Linked DNA regions of Macaca mulatta. The protein of the gene in region 2 binds, or shares a complex with, the protein of the main gene of each other region. Links are inferred from orthologs where the notes say so. Each region holds a gene or a part of one and is shown on either strand. Other genes may lie near its edges.

The links. Proteins that work in one complex are often made in the same cells at the same time.
Region 1: the proteins of ATP8B1 (region 2) and TMEM30A are in contact, whole or in part, in a cryo-EM structure (PDB 7VGI), measured with the Homo sapiens proteins. The link is inferred for Macaca mulatta from reciprocal best matches to the Homo sapiens genes ATP8B1 and TMEM30A. Residues at the interface, in NP_001361314.1 of Homo sapiens: Thr138, His359, Trp362, Glu363, Val366, Ser369, Ser370, Trp371, Tyr372, Leu373, Tyr374, Asp375, Gly376, Arg384, Ile388, Phe418, Asn420, Trp421, Asp422, Leu423, Tyr426, Lys430, Asp431, Thr432, Pro433, His939, Trp942, Arg946, Tyr968, Phe971; in NP_060717.1 of Homo sapiens: Lys24, Thr25, Arg26, Arg27, Pro28, Asn30, Phe33, Lys34, Gln35, Gln36, Arg37, Leu38, Pro39, Ala40, Trp41, Gln42, Pro43, Ile44, Leu45, Thr46, Ala47, Val50, Phe54, Ile57, Phe61, Ile64, Ile68, Ile75, Phe119, Tyr121.
Region 3: the proteins of ATP8B1 (region 2) and TMEM30B are in contact, whole or in part, in a cryo-EM structure (PDB 7VGH), measured with the Homo sapiens proteins. The link is inferred for Macaca mulatta from reciprocal best matches to the Homo sapiens genes ATP8B1 and TMEM30B. Residues at the interface, in NP_001361314.1 of Homo sapiens: Trp362, Val366, Ser369, Ser370, Trp371, Tyr372, Leu373, Tyr374, Asp375, Gly376, Phe418, Trp421, Asp422, Leu423, Tyr426, Asp431, Pro433, His939, Trp942, Arg946, Tyr968, Phe971, Asn972, Gly973, Ser975, Ala976, Gln977, Leu1003, Gln1005, Phe1049; in NP_001017970.1 of Homo sapiens: Gly9, Ala10, His11, Gln12, Pro13, Asn15, Phe18, Thr19, Gln20, Gln21, Arg22, Leu23, Pro24, Ala25, Trp26, Gln27, Pro28, Leu30, Ser31, Ala32, Ala35, Leu38, Phe39, Phe46, Leu49, Leu53, Tyr109, Tyr111, Asn116, Phe117.

What each region holds. Positions count from the first base shown.
Region 1 is NC_133409.1:110,454,368-110,459,512, reverse strand, and holds the start of TMEM30A (cell cycle control protein 50A), read right to left. Parts: upstream 3,424-5,145; 5' UTR 3,307-3,423; coding exon 3,070-3,306; intron 1-3,069. UniProt on the Homo sapiens protein: Accessory component of a P4-ATPase flippase complex which catalyzes the hydrolysis of ATP coupled to the transport of aminophospholipids from the outer to the inner leaflet of various membranes and ensures the maintenance of asymmetric distribution of phospholipids.
Region 2 is NC_133423.1:23,342,624-23,346,123, reverse strand, and holds part of ATP8B1 (phospholipid-transporting ATPase IC), read right to left. Parts: intron 1,348-3,500; coding exon 1,215-1,347; intron 219-1,214; coding exon 1-218. UniProt on the Homo sapiens protein: Catalytic component of a P4-ATPase flippase complex which catalyzes the hydrolysis of ATP coupled to the transport of phospholipids, in particular phosphatidylcholines (PC), from the outer to the inner leaflet of the plasma membrane.
Region 3 is NC_133412.1:134,385,221-134,390,127, forward strand, and holds the start of TMEM30B (cell cycle control protein 50B), read right to left. Parts: upstream 3,424-4,907; 5' UTR 2,558-3,423; coding exon 1,502-2,557; 3' UTR 1-1,501. UniProt on the Homo sapiens protein: Accessory component of a P4-ATPase flippase complex which catalyzes the hydrolysis of ATP coupled to the transport of aminophospholipids from the outer to the inner leaflet of various membranes and ensures the maintenance of asymmetric distribution of phospholipids.

The sequences.
Region 1 (5,145 bases), on a different chromosome or scaffold from region 2:
GCCTTTGAAAGATGTGCCTGACTCACAACTGCCAAATTAAAGGAAATCCTCATTCCTTGCTCCTAATAATAAATGAAGATATTAAATATTTAAAATATTTTCTCATGAATGATGAATTATGATTTTCTATTAGCCTCATTTTATTTAGATTATTGAAAATCTAAAAACCAACTAAATAAGATACATAAATCTAACAAGTAGAGGAAATCTGCTACCAAATGTAAGCATTAAAATGTGAAAATATCTTTTTCCAGGGGCATCCAAGACACTTTTCAAAAGTAGTAATTTTTAGTGCAATATTTCTGCAGGAATGAGAAAAATCCAGTGATTTTATACTTGAAAAAGTTTGAATTTTTGATTTTGGCACTTTAAACTATATTACAAAAGCATTTGGATTTGACAAGTCTCCTTTGCCCTAGTAATTTGAACTAATATAGCAATGAAGATTTTCTCAAATAAAAAATAAAGTGTGAGTAACTTACAGTATGAGAGTGAATGTTGGTAAGAACTTCTCATTACCCAATTACAACTAGTGGCTAACAGAGTAGAGAACAAGAAGGAAACAAGTATGTGTGTTTGGGGAATCTCCGTAGGTTTTTCTAATAACTCCAGACACAATTCAGAAGCATTTCTCTATATATCCAGCATCCAAACTTTAAAAATACATATGTGGATTCTGTCTGCACAACTGTATGTTCATTGTCAGTAAAAAATTCTAAATTATTCTTAGTTTTCATTTCCTCTTGCTCCAAAGGCAATACAATTTAAACACATCCAGTTTTTTAAAAATCACATTTGAATTGGATATCATAGAATTTTAGAGTTGAACAGCCTCTTAGAGGCAGTTTAATCTGAATCTTTTGGTTCTTCAAGTAAAGAAACTGGACTCAAAATTATACCTAAGATCACAAAGTACAGAGTGACAGAGGTGGGATTTCAACCCTAATTCCCTGACTCTTCAGTGCCCTTTTAACCAGGCTAAGCTGCAGCAGATTCTTCAGGCAACTTGAAATCAGAATTACACATGAGAGCTATTTGAAAAATTTCTATTTTGTCTACTACTTAGTGTGAGGAACCTTATTTTACTCCAAAACCCAAAGATTTTAAGAAAAGTTAAACATTTATTTTTCTACTATGGTAAATATTAATGGAAGTTGAGCTCTGAAAATACTAACTTATACACAATTCCAAATTATTGCTATTTTCCTCTTATCTTAAGAAGTTTAAATAAAATCATTCAAATTTCAGATGTTAAATTATTTTCTTCTACTTTATTAACATTGCAGTAAGGATCTTAGTGTAGGGTGAAAGCTTAAAGCTGGGAGTCAAGACACCTGAGTTTCTGTCTCATTTTTTATAATACTCTTAACTAGTTTACTGTCAAATCTCAAACTCTTTCTCATCTCCTGATTAAGGATCAGGAGACAGATCCCTACTGCCAGACATCTTATTTACATTGCTTCTAATTCTCACACCTTAGAAGATATGAATTATTCTACCTATTTTGCAGGAAACTGAAGCTCAGAGAGATTAAGGAAATTTTCCAAGAAACTGAGATGGTTAGTAGCTGAGCTAGAATTTAAAACCAGCTCTGCCTGACCCCAGCCAATGCCCATGTTCCTTGCATGACACCACTTTGCCCATATACTAATATAATGTGTGATCCTAGTATGGTTAGAACAAGAAGTACTACATTTGCAGGATTATTAGGGAGATTAAGGTGATAAAACAAACTAAAATACATGCTGAAAAAAATACTGTAACTCTTTAGTTATTAAATTGAGAATAAATTTTTAGTAAAAAATTTTAAAACTAGTTATGCTATAGATACTATTCTCATTACTGTCGTCAACACTGAAGTAAGCACTGTAGAATTACAAAACACATGAATCTTGCTTTTAGAGAGAACACTGCAAATTAAAGTGGAACCCCATCCCTATTTCAGTAGTTAAAAATAAAATTACTCTCAAAGTCCCATTAAATCACATAGGTAAGTATATTTATTAAAATGTGTGTGTGTGTGTATAAATAGAACAGAAGGAATCAAGAGAACTTCTTACTAGTTCCTGCCCTTTCAAATAGATTTAGAAAACAACAACATTCTCAGATATGCAAGAAAAGATGAGAGATGCTTAATACTGGACACCTATACAGCATATATTAATACAGTGTACTATCAACCATCTTCACCCCTACAGATAAAGATACTGTGCTTCTGACAAAGAAATGTTTCCCCAAGTTTTCCTGTCATGTCTTACATATTCAGCAAAGTTAGTATCAGTAAAATGTTTGGTAGACAGTGGACAACTTACTCCCTGAATGTGGTCACTGGCTCTTTTTGTAAAAAAAAAAAAAAAAAAAAAAAAAAAAGACCAGCAAATGTAGGGCCCATTAATAAACGTAGCCTAAAAGCAAAACCAGAATTGAAGTTTCAGGTTATCTTTCCTGTGTATCTTGCCCCACAACTGAAAATATCGAATTAGCTCAAAATGAAAAGTACTATGCACATTTGTCGTAAGTCCTCATACGTGACCTGATAACATGCGACAGCTTCTTTATATTAGAATCGTCAATACCTCTACGACTCTGGTTCTTTTCCCAACAATGGCCAAGGTGTTCATCTCTGTGTCTTCGGATAACGCCCACAAAGGTAATGACACTTTTGACCCTGTCAATTCACTCAGGGTTGCATCTACCTAGCTACAATTGCCCCCGCCCCCACTTCTCTTTTTACCTCCGTGAACAACCCCCGCTAATCCCCCATGGAACCACACAAACCGCCTACTGAAGAAGCGTTCTCCACCTGACCCATCTTCTGCATTAAACATTCATTCCGTCTCAGCTCATCCCGTCGATTTGCTCTTTCGTAAACCGCAAGACAAAGCTAGGACAAAGCTGCAAATTCAGGAAACCCGCAGAAAGAGAAAGAAAAAACAGAGGGAAGGGGGTGGGGGGCGGCGCGGGGTCTGCCTGTCAACTGGCTTTAGGGCGCTGGGAAAGGAGTGGGGCGGGCGCGTAGGACCGTCCTCCCGAGCAACGCCAACTCCCACCACAGCTCCCTCCCCTCACCTCGATCTCGCGGATGTTGTTGGAGGTGACAAAGATGCCAATGCCAATGGGAATGAAGATGAGGCCGATGATGAAGAAAATAGGTAGCACCGTGCCAGCCGTAAGGATGGGCTGCCAAGCTGGCAGCCGTTGCTGTTTGAAGGCCGTGTTATCCGGTCTCCGAGTCTTCGCGGTGCCCCCCGGAGCACAAGGGGGCCCACCGTCCACTTCATCCTTCGCGTTATAGTTCATCGCCATCGATCCCCGGGGCACCGCTCCGCCACTTGCAGGTGGACCACCCAGGGGGCCCGCCGGCTGACCCTGACAGGAACCGCTCGAGCTCCGCTGCCGCCGCCGCCGCCACCAGGGCCACCGCCACAGCCGCCTCCGCTGTGGAGCGGAAGAGGCGGGACACTCTTCCGCCAAAGGCCGCGGACAGGAAGCGTAAGTCGGCTGGAGACGCCAGAGGGAGGGAGAGAGGGAGGAGGGAGAAGAAGGAGGGACAAGGGGAGGGGAAAGGGGAGGAGGATAGAAGGGGGAAGGAAAAGGCGGACGCACCCTGATCATCTGTCCTGTGACGGACTCAGCCACCCGAGCGCGAAGCTACATTGGCGCATGCGCGGCCCTAGAGCTAGGGGATTCCGAGCCTGCGCTGTAGGCGTATATTTGCTCTGTTGGCCGTGGCTTTAGTTAGCACACACCTGCCTGCTACTCTGGTTATAGTGGCGACTGCAGGTCCGGATTGCCAGACAGGTTTTTCTTTTTACCTCGAGGGTTTCTCTGAAGGGAGTCGGAGCATTTAAAAGGCGGCCTCAAGGGGGATTGAGTCGGGGGAGAATTAGCAGTATTTGCTTAGGTTGTAAAACCGCGAGTTTAATTAAATAAATCGCTATTCAAGGTGCAATTATAAACTTGGAACACAGGTGCGTAACATGTACCCCTTTTGTCCTAAAGTCAAGAATCAATAATGTGACTTAGCCCTATTATCTTGCCTCTAATTAAGCGATTCTCACTTATTTTTTCTCTATTGCTGATTCTCACGTTACTTTTCCCCTTTTCTATGTCCACCTTTCTCTTTTGCGCATTGATATAGGAAGTGTTTTGTAATAGGCTGTAGCTTTTTCTCTTACTGTTGTAAAAACCAGGACATATAGCATTACTACAAAATAAGATACCCCGTAAACACTTTAAAAGTGCCAGATATTTAATGACCCAAGGAAATACTCGTGATGTAAAAGGTGACTAAGTCAGGATATTAGAGTAGTGTAGCGACTGTAGAAGTATAATATAGAGCGGAACTAAAAAGTGAATAATGGTAACTCTGTTGACCGGATGGAGGAATTTTTTTTTCCTGTTTCTTTGCACTTTTCTGTATTTTCCAAAATTTCTATAATAGGCGTATGTTATTTGTAAAATTTAAACAATTATATACAATCCACATTATACTGACATCTTTGAAGTCTAGGCCAGAGAGTAAGTCGCATCATTTGAAAATAAATTACTTTTAGGCTTAGTCTGCAGTAATGCCTTAAATAAGTTAAACTGAGGAAAGAGAAAATAAGGAGTGCTTGGTCCTCATAATTTACAGTTAGGCCGGGCACCGTGGGTCACGCCTGTAATCCCAACACTTTGGAAGGCCGAGGCGGGTGGATCACCTGAGGTCAGGAGTTCGAGACTAGCCTGGCCAACATGATGAAAGCCCGTCTTTACTAAAAATACAAAATTAGCCGAGTGTGGTGGCCGGGCCTGTAATCCCAGCTACTCGGGAGGCTGAGGCAGGAGAATCACTTGAACCCGGGAGGCGAAGGTTGCAGTGAGCCCGAGATCCCCCGTTGCACTCCAGCCTGGTCAACAAGAGTGAAACTCCATCTCAAAAAAAAAAAAAAAATTTACAGTTAAATTTTTTTCAAAATGACCACAAGTCTAAAAAATGTGAGCCAATCACATACTTACTAGGCAGAGTTTAGAGTGATACAATACTTGTTGCCCTCTAATAACCGACTTGCTTGGGTTTGCTCTTACATGACATTCATGCTCAAATTCTTAGCACTGCTGACATACTTAGGTCTATATTTTGTTTTGATCTGTTAAGTTTAC
Region 2 (3,500 bases):
AGGTCCACCACCATGGCCTTCTGCTTGGGGGTGACGCGGCAGCAGATGACTGCGCTGCACTCGCAGGCCAGGTCCACAAAGTTTTTCTGCTGCTGCTCTTTCTTAGCTTCTAGCCTCCTTTTACTTTGGGTCCGCATCCGTCTTTCTTCTTCCGTTCTTGGGAACTTCAGCTTCAGAATCTTACTTCTCTTGGTCTTTTTCTCGAGAAGAATTTCATTCTGTGAAATCAGAGAGGGAAAAGGTTACATTCATTTTAGTTTTACCCCAGGAGTACCATTCCCAAGATTTAAATTATGTGAAGGATAATTTTTGGGTTATATCACTGATTGTATTTGACAAACAAATTTGATTTTATAATCAAAATATGTATATGTATGTGTATACATATATATACACACACACACACACATATATATATATGTATTTTTTTGAGACGGAGTCTCTGTTGCCAGGCTGGAATGCAGTGGCACGATCTTGGCTCACTGTAACCTCCACCTCCCAGGTTCAAGCGATTTCCCTGCCTCAGCCTCCCGAGTAGCTGGGACTACAGGTGTGCGCCACCACGCCTGGCTAATTTTTTTTTTTTTTTTTTTTTTTTGTATTTTAGTAGAGACAGGGCTTCACCATGTTGGCCAGGATGGTCTCCATCTCCTGACCTTGTGATCTGCCCACCTTGGCCTCCCAAAGTGCTGGGAGTACAGGCGTGAGCCACCGTGCTTGGCTATATATATATATATATATATATATTTTTTTTTTTTTTTTTAATGGAGATGGTGTCTTGCTGTGTAGCCTGGGTTGAAGTGCAGTGGCTATTCATTCACAAGTGTGATCATTGCATGCTGCAGCCTTGAACACCTAAGCTCAAACCACCCTCCTGTTTCAGCCTCCGGAGTAGCTAGGACTACAGGCGCATGCTACCACATCCAGCTTATAAAATATATATGCAACAAAAATTTAGAAAATCCAACAATCTATAAAGAAGAAAATGGAAAATACCCATTAATTAATAAACCAAGATAAACACTTTGACCTCTTTGGTATACATCCTTTCATATATCATATACTATTAAGTCTTAAACTTGGAAAAATCGCACTTTCATGTATAGGCTAAGAGACTTTTAGGTTGGCAGTTAACATGTGAAAACATCTAAAAGTGGCCCCAAAAGAACTTCTTTCTTCTGAGTTAAAGGCACAGATACACTAATGATACATACCAACCAAGAACCAGTGATGATTAACGCACGGTTTCCACCGGGTGGAAAAAAACGTTCCTGCACAGGAGGTGCAAACTTTGCATAGACTCCACCTCTATTCCTCTGGTTTTCCATCCTTGCATGGAGAAGAGAACTAGGGGAAAGCAAATTTAAGTGTTTAATAGGCCCTTGATTCTGAGATAATTTTGACTTAAAAAAAAGGTGACAAAAAACCAAAGTTTACCATCTTAACTATTTTTGTTTATTTTATTTTCATTATAATTTTTTTGAGAGAGGGTCTCACTCTGTCACCCAGGCTGGAGGGCAGTGGCATGATCATGGGTCACTGCAGCCTTGACCTCCCAGGCTCAAGTGATTCTCCTGCCTCAGCCTTCTGAATTGCTGGGACTATAGGCACACGCTATCATGCCTGGCTAATTTTTGTATTTTTTGTAGCAATAGGGTTTCGCCATATCCCAGGCTTTGGCCATTTTTAAGTGTACAGCTTAGTAGTATTAACTATAGTCACATTGTTATCTAACCAATCTCTAGAACTTTTTCATCTTAAAAAACTGAAACTCTATACCTATTACACAATAACACCTCATCTCACTCACCCTCCAGTCCCTGGTAACTTCCAGTTTACTTTCTGTTTGAATGAATTTGAGCACTCTAGATACCTCATATATGTGAAATCAAACAGTATTTGTCTTTTTGTGACTGGTTTATTTCACTTAGCATAATGTCTTCAAGGTTCATCTATATAACATGTCATAATTTCCTTCTTTTTTAAAGTTGAATATATTCCATTATGTGGAGGCACCACATTCTGTTTATTCATTCACACAATGATGGGCACCTGGGTTGTGTCCACCTCTTGGCTACTGTGAACAGTGTTGCTATGAACATGGGTGTGCATGTATCTCTTTGAGATCCTGCTTTCAATTATTTTGTGGATATACCCAGAAGTGGGATTGTTGAATTATATGGTAATCTTTTTTAAAATTTTTTTGAAGCATCACCATACTGTTTTGCATAGTGGCTGCACCATTTTATATATTTCATCAACAACACACAAAGGTTCCTTCAACAATGCTTATTTTCTATTGTGTTTTGTTTTTGATAGTATCCATCCTAAACGGTGTGAGGTATTATCTTGCTTTGGTTTTGATTTCTCTTCCCCTAATAGTGATGATGAGCATCCTTTCACATGTTTATCAGCCATTTGTATGTCCTTTTTGGAAAAATGTCTACTCAAAGTGCTTTACCCATTATTATTTTTTTTTAGACAGAGTCTCGCTCTGTCACCAGGCTGGAGTGCAGTGGTGTGATCTCAGCTCACTGCAACATCCGCTTCCCAGGTTCAAGCAATTCTCCTGCCTCAGCCACCCAAGTAGCTGGGACTACAGGTGTGTGCCACCACGCCTGGCTAATTTTTGTATTTTTAGTAGAGACAGGGTTTCACCATATTGGCCAGGATGGTCTCAATCTCTTGATCTCACAATCCGCCCGCCTCAGCCCCCCACAGTGCTGGGATTACAGGCATGAGCCACCGTGTCCAGCCAGCCTTTTTTTTTTTTTAACTGAGTGACATGTAATTTTACTAAGTCTTGATTCGTCCACCATGGGGGGGCACCATGTTGTTGGTAATTCACCATTTTTCAAAGACAGCTAAAGGAAGATACAGTTGAAAATGTATACACAGCAACAGAAGAAAGGCAATCTTAGGCCAGGCACTGTGGCTTACACCTGTAATCCCAGCACTTTGGGAGGCTGAGGCGGGCAGATCATCTGAGGTCAGGAGTTCCAAGCCAGGCTGGCCAACATAGTGAAACTCTGTCTCTACTAAAAATACAAAAATTAGCCAGGCATAGTGGTGGTGCCTGTAATCCCAGCTACTTGGGAGGCTGAGGCATGAGGATCACTTGAACCCAGGAGGTAGAGTTTGCAAAGAGACAAGATTGCACCACTGCACCCCAGCCTGGGTGGCAGAAATAGTCTTTTTCATTAAAAAAAAAAAAAAGGAAAGGCAATCTTGATCTGAATTAGAATACTATTGTTGTTAGGAAGAAACTTATTTTCATATAAACAAAATTATATCTGTGAGAAATTCTCAGTGCTTTATATCAACAAATTGAATGTTTATGTTAAAATGATATATGTGACAAGGCCACATATAACACTTTCATGTGATAGAAAAATGAGTCATGAAACTTTGGAGTGGAAGGGACCTTAAATATCTTGTCCAATCTCTTCATGTTACAAATAAGGAAATCAAGCCAGAGGAAGGTGATGTGATTTGCCTGC
Region 3 (4,907 bases), on a different chromosome or scaffold from region 2:
ATAATCAAATTAATAATTGGAAAATAGCTTAATAGCAGGCACTGAAGAATTCTGACAAATACCAAATAACTGTTTGCATTTACAAATAAACTGGTAAGATGATATCACAAAGGGGTTTTTTTAAAGTTATTTTGCCATACAAGGTTTTTTAAAAATAAAACGATTGCTTCTTAGAATAACTTTAAACATATTGATTGATGTTAGTCAATCAAAATCAATTGAATTATTTTAGTTGAGTTTTAACGTCATCTCAAAGGTTCAAATAATCTTAAGATTCTAGTTTACATAAAAGACTATATATGCCTTAGCACTGATTCAAATATGATTACTAGGAATCAACAGATTTCATTTGAAAAGATAAATTTTTTTCCAGATGCAAGGGAAAAGGTATGAAGCCCTTTCTAAACACACACACGCACACTAAATGATAAAGAAGATTGAGCTAGGAGACATAGATGTGACTTTAGGGAACTTACTTTCCCTCGAAGATCTCTTCCAGCTGTCTGATTCTAGGTTAAAGCATTTCCTCTGAACTGTACAAACTGGCCTCACATTTTCGAGTTTCTACACAGTACCTGGCAAAGTTTGCCTGTTTGCTTTTATACCAAAATACTAAAATATTAAATGAATAACATAAACCCTGTCCTACAACTCTGTATGCCAACTAGTTTTCCCGAGATAGTGATTTTTTAAAAATTCATTCCACAAGTCATCAAGAGCTTCCTACGTTCAAGGCAGAGTGCCAGACCAAACCTGGAACATCATGGTTGTCACTGCCCCCGGGAACAAATTACTATCCAAAAAAGTGAACTCAGTTGACTGCTTCAGGCCCAACCTGGTTCAGGGTCGTGATTCCCAAATTTGAGGGAGTATGGGACTCTCCAGAGGAGTTTGTTAAAACACAGCTTCGAGGGTCTCATCCCAGCCTTACTGTGACTGAATCTCTGGTTGGTGTCTCCTAATCTACCTGCATATTTAACAAGCATGTTCTCCCTCACGCTTCCACATCTCTGCAGGTAATTTGTGGGCCTCACTCTCCATTCCAACCCACTCCCCTCACCAAAGAAAAGAAAACCACAGTATTGTAGTGGCAAAAGCTCTAGACTCAAGAGTCAGGAGTCACTTGCAGCTGCCTGATCTTAGTTACTTCACATTGCTAGGTCTCTCAATCTCTTCCTCTGATAGGGGTTGAACAGGAGTCTCCATAGGGATCCCTTCCCTTCTCAGACTTGAAGAACCTCACATGGCAACTCGGTGTCGTGAAGGAGGTGGGAAGAGTTTGCAATGATGTTTCACTCTGCAGTCAACATCCCTCCCCGCGGCAAGACAGTCTAGCGAGCCCCCCAAGAGCAAGGGGGTAATTCCCTTCTCTGATCCCCTCATTCACAAAGGGAGGAAAAGCGAGGAGAGGTTGGAATTGGGCCAGGGGCGAGGAGGAGATGCCAGAAGAAGCTCGGAAGAGTTTTGGCAAGAAGCAGGAAGGATCCCTGGAAAGCTGGAATCACTCCTCGTCGTCGTCGTCCTGGTCCTGGTAGCGAATGTAGACGATCAGCATGACAAAGCCGGTGAAGATGCAGAGGGAGCCGACGACCAGGTAGGCGATGCCGAGGAAAGGGTTCTTGCCACCCATCCACGAGATGCTGCTGAAGATGAGGAGCTTGTGGCCGCCGAACGCGCGCACCGGGTAGTTGTAGGTGATGTTGACGCGGTAGGCGCCCCGCGGCAGCCCGGCCGAATAGTTGCCCTGGCGGATGCGCGCATACAGCTTGCGGAACGTGGGCAGCGCCGCCGTGCGCATCCACACCACGAAGTCCTGGTTGATGAAACCGGTGTTGTTGGGGTCGGGGCTGAGCTCGTAGACCGGCCGGCGCCAGTTGGGCGGGGGCGCCGTGCCCTGGAAGGCCAGCGCCAGGCTGCCGTTGACCAGCGGCGGGTTGCGGAACTTGACGTGGTAGTCGGTCCACCAGGCGATGCCGGAGCGGTCGAGCGGCACCTCGACGTAGAGCCCGCCTGGCAGGCGCTGGTGCCAAAGCGAGAAGGAGTCGTTGAAGAGACTGTTGGCGATGGCGCCGCAGGGCGCGATGGGCAGGCCGGCCGCGCTGAGCTGGTAGGGGGCGCACTCGTTGACCGGGTGGCGCAGCGCGCTGGGCAGCCCGCTCAGCTGCTCGTCGTCGCGGGACACGCCGTAGCGCCGGTTGTTCTGGTAGAAGTTGGTCAGCTCGTAGTAGAGGTACACGGGGCCCTGGAAGAGCTCGGGCAGCGAGAAGGACCAGGCGCACGAGCAGGGGGGCGGCGGCGCGCGGCCCTGGCCAGCCTCGGCGCACACCGAGCAGTTGCTGGTGCCCGAGTCGCCGGTGTAGTCGTACTCCAGCTCCTTGATGCCGTTGGAGGAGTAGTAGAGGCCCAGGCCCAGGCCAATGAAGGCCAGGCCCGCGCAGAAGAAGAGCGGCAGCGCGATGCTGGCCGACAGCAGCGGCTGCCAGGCTGGGAGGCGCTGCTGCGTGAAGGCGGTGTTGTCGGGCTGGTGGGCGCCCCGGGCCGTGGCGCTCCAGGTCATGGCGGCCGTGCGGGGACCGACGCGTGGGCTGACCGAGGGGGGCCCCGCCGCGCGAGCCTGGGGACTGCTGGCGGGTCGGGTTTCCAGCCGGCTCAGGTGGGTTTTTGCCCGGGCCCCGCCTCTGCCTCCCTCACAGGTGAGTTTAGTTCCAGGCCCTACAAGCAGTGCCCACACCCCCCAGTTCCGCCTCCGCCCAGGTGCGCTCCACCGTCGCGGGTCACCGGGAGCCGCACCTCGCTCGCCCCTTCCGAGGTGAGCAGGTGGGTGTTTTTTACCTCACCTGGTAGACTCAGTCTCGCCTTTCCTCTCAGTCCGGGTCATGGGACTCCAGCTCCTCCTCTCCAAGGTGAGTGGCGGCCCCGGACTGCCTCTGAGTGGCTCATACCTGGCTCAGGTACCACCTTCTCTTTCGCCTTCCAAGTGACTGGATTTCCTGGGCCAGTCTCCCGAAATCAAAAGGCGCTCCGGCCTCCTCTCCTGAGGGCTTGCACCATGTCCGGGAGGCTTGAAGATTTCAGGTTGTTAATCCCCTGTTATTTGCGGGGAAAAGGTGACTCTAGACCATTTTGTCTTTTAGGTTAGCTTCAGAAAACCCTTTCGCCCAGCTTTCAGTCTCAAGTTGGGAGTGTCCGGGGAATTACGTTGTGATAAATCTGTTTCGAATTCAACGCCTGTGTTCAAATTTTAGCTTTTTTTTTTTTTTTTTTTTAAGGGAAAATGATTTTCTGGCCAGATCACCCAGTCTGGCTGTATAACTAGGAAATGTGGAAAGTTCTCTAAAAATAAAATGATCCTTAAAAAGAATCAAAGGCTGGAGAGGTTCAGAGCCTTTAAATAACTCTCTAGCTGGTGGAGAAACCAAGAAAGGAAGAAATGTGCTGGACTACATGTGATTTTGTTTTCTTTTCAGATTATTTGCCTGACTAGAGAAAGGCCCAATCCAAGGTCCCAGGAGACCTAGCTGCTATCCACAAAGAAATCTGGAGTGTCTGGCCTAAGGAGGTGAACTACAAGAATGTATAGGATTTATTATAAAAAGAACTCAAATTAGCTCCCTAGGTTGTGTGGGATTCTGGCTTGCTTTTTTAAAAATCTAGGTTGGTATAACATATACCAAGGGGGTATTGGGACATTCTGATTTCTTACTAAATCTTCCCTAGGTATTGTGTTCTTGCTTCTCCTCCAGCTTGTAAAATGCAAGTAATACAAATGTTTTCTCTATTACACTACACCTAGCATAATATAGTGTATTCAGAAGTCATTCAAAACCCACTGAAACTTGGAAAGTTAAAATGCGTATTAAATTGAACAGAGGAATTTTGTTAGCATCTTCCAGGTATTCAGTCCTATGCTAATTAGACAAAAAAGGACCTTTGACCTCAAGGCATTTGCAGTCTGATAGGGGACATATTAGGAGTAAGAAGCAAAATAGCCAATAATATCTATTTATCATAGGGTGTAATTAAGTATCAAATTGCACTCTATAAGTCACACTAAAATTAAAAAGTAATATTGTTTTAATACTGGAACATTGATTCCATGTTGTTAAATGAATGCAAGTTGGAAACTTTAGGTATTAGAGAAGACTGAGGGAAATTCAAGTGACTTGAATTTCAATTCCCTCACTTCTTATCATACCCCAAGAGAGGAAGTTCCAAAATTCTCAACAAGTTCCCATAGTGTGATTCAGTCTCCATTCACCATTTTTTTCAATAAAGAATAAATAGTTCTTTGTATCATTATGGTTGAGTTCCACCCACCCCTGTATCATTGAATCACTAGTCCAGACAACTATCCTCTAGAAGGAATTCAGTTTTCACAACTTTAGTAGATTTTTTTTTTTTTTTTTTTTTTTTTTTGAGAGAGAGTTGTCTCCCTCAGTTGTCCAGGCTTGTCTCAAACTCTTGAGCCCAAGAGATCCTTCTGCCTCAGCTTCCCAAATTGTTGGGATCATAGGTGTGAGCCATCACACCAAGCCTATCTGGTAAATCTTAAGTCTTTTTCTAGTAGATCACCACCACACCCTAAAAGTGCAAGCCCCATTCTTGAGCTCAGAGCCTTTCCTCCTTTTCTCCTATCCTTGGATGACCTAAAGGTACTAGTTTATTCATTCCGTGACAGATTTTCAAAGTCAAAAGAGAATGTTTAAAGACAAGGAATGGTCAACAGAGTTAAACACAGCTGAGTGTTCAAGTGAGATAAATGAAAAGGAACTAGGGGGTTTGACTTTTGTGGGAGCACTTTGGGTGGTTTGTGTGGCAGGAATCAAGTTATCATCAGGTGCAGGGAAGGGGAAGTAGATAGCAAGATAGGAAGACACTCTTTTTTTTTTTTTTTTTTAGAGATGAGG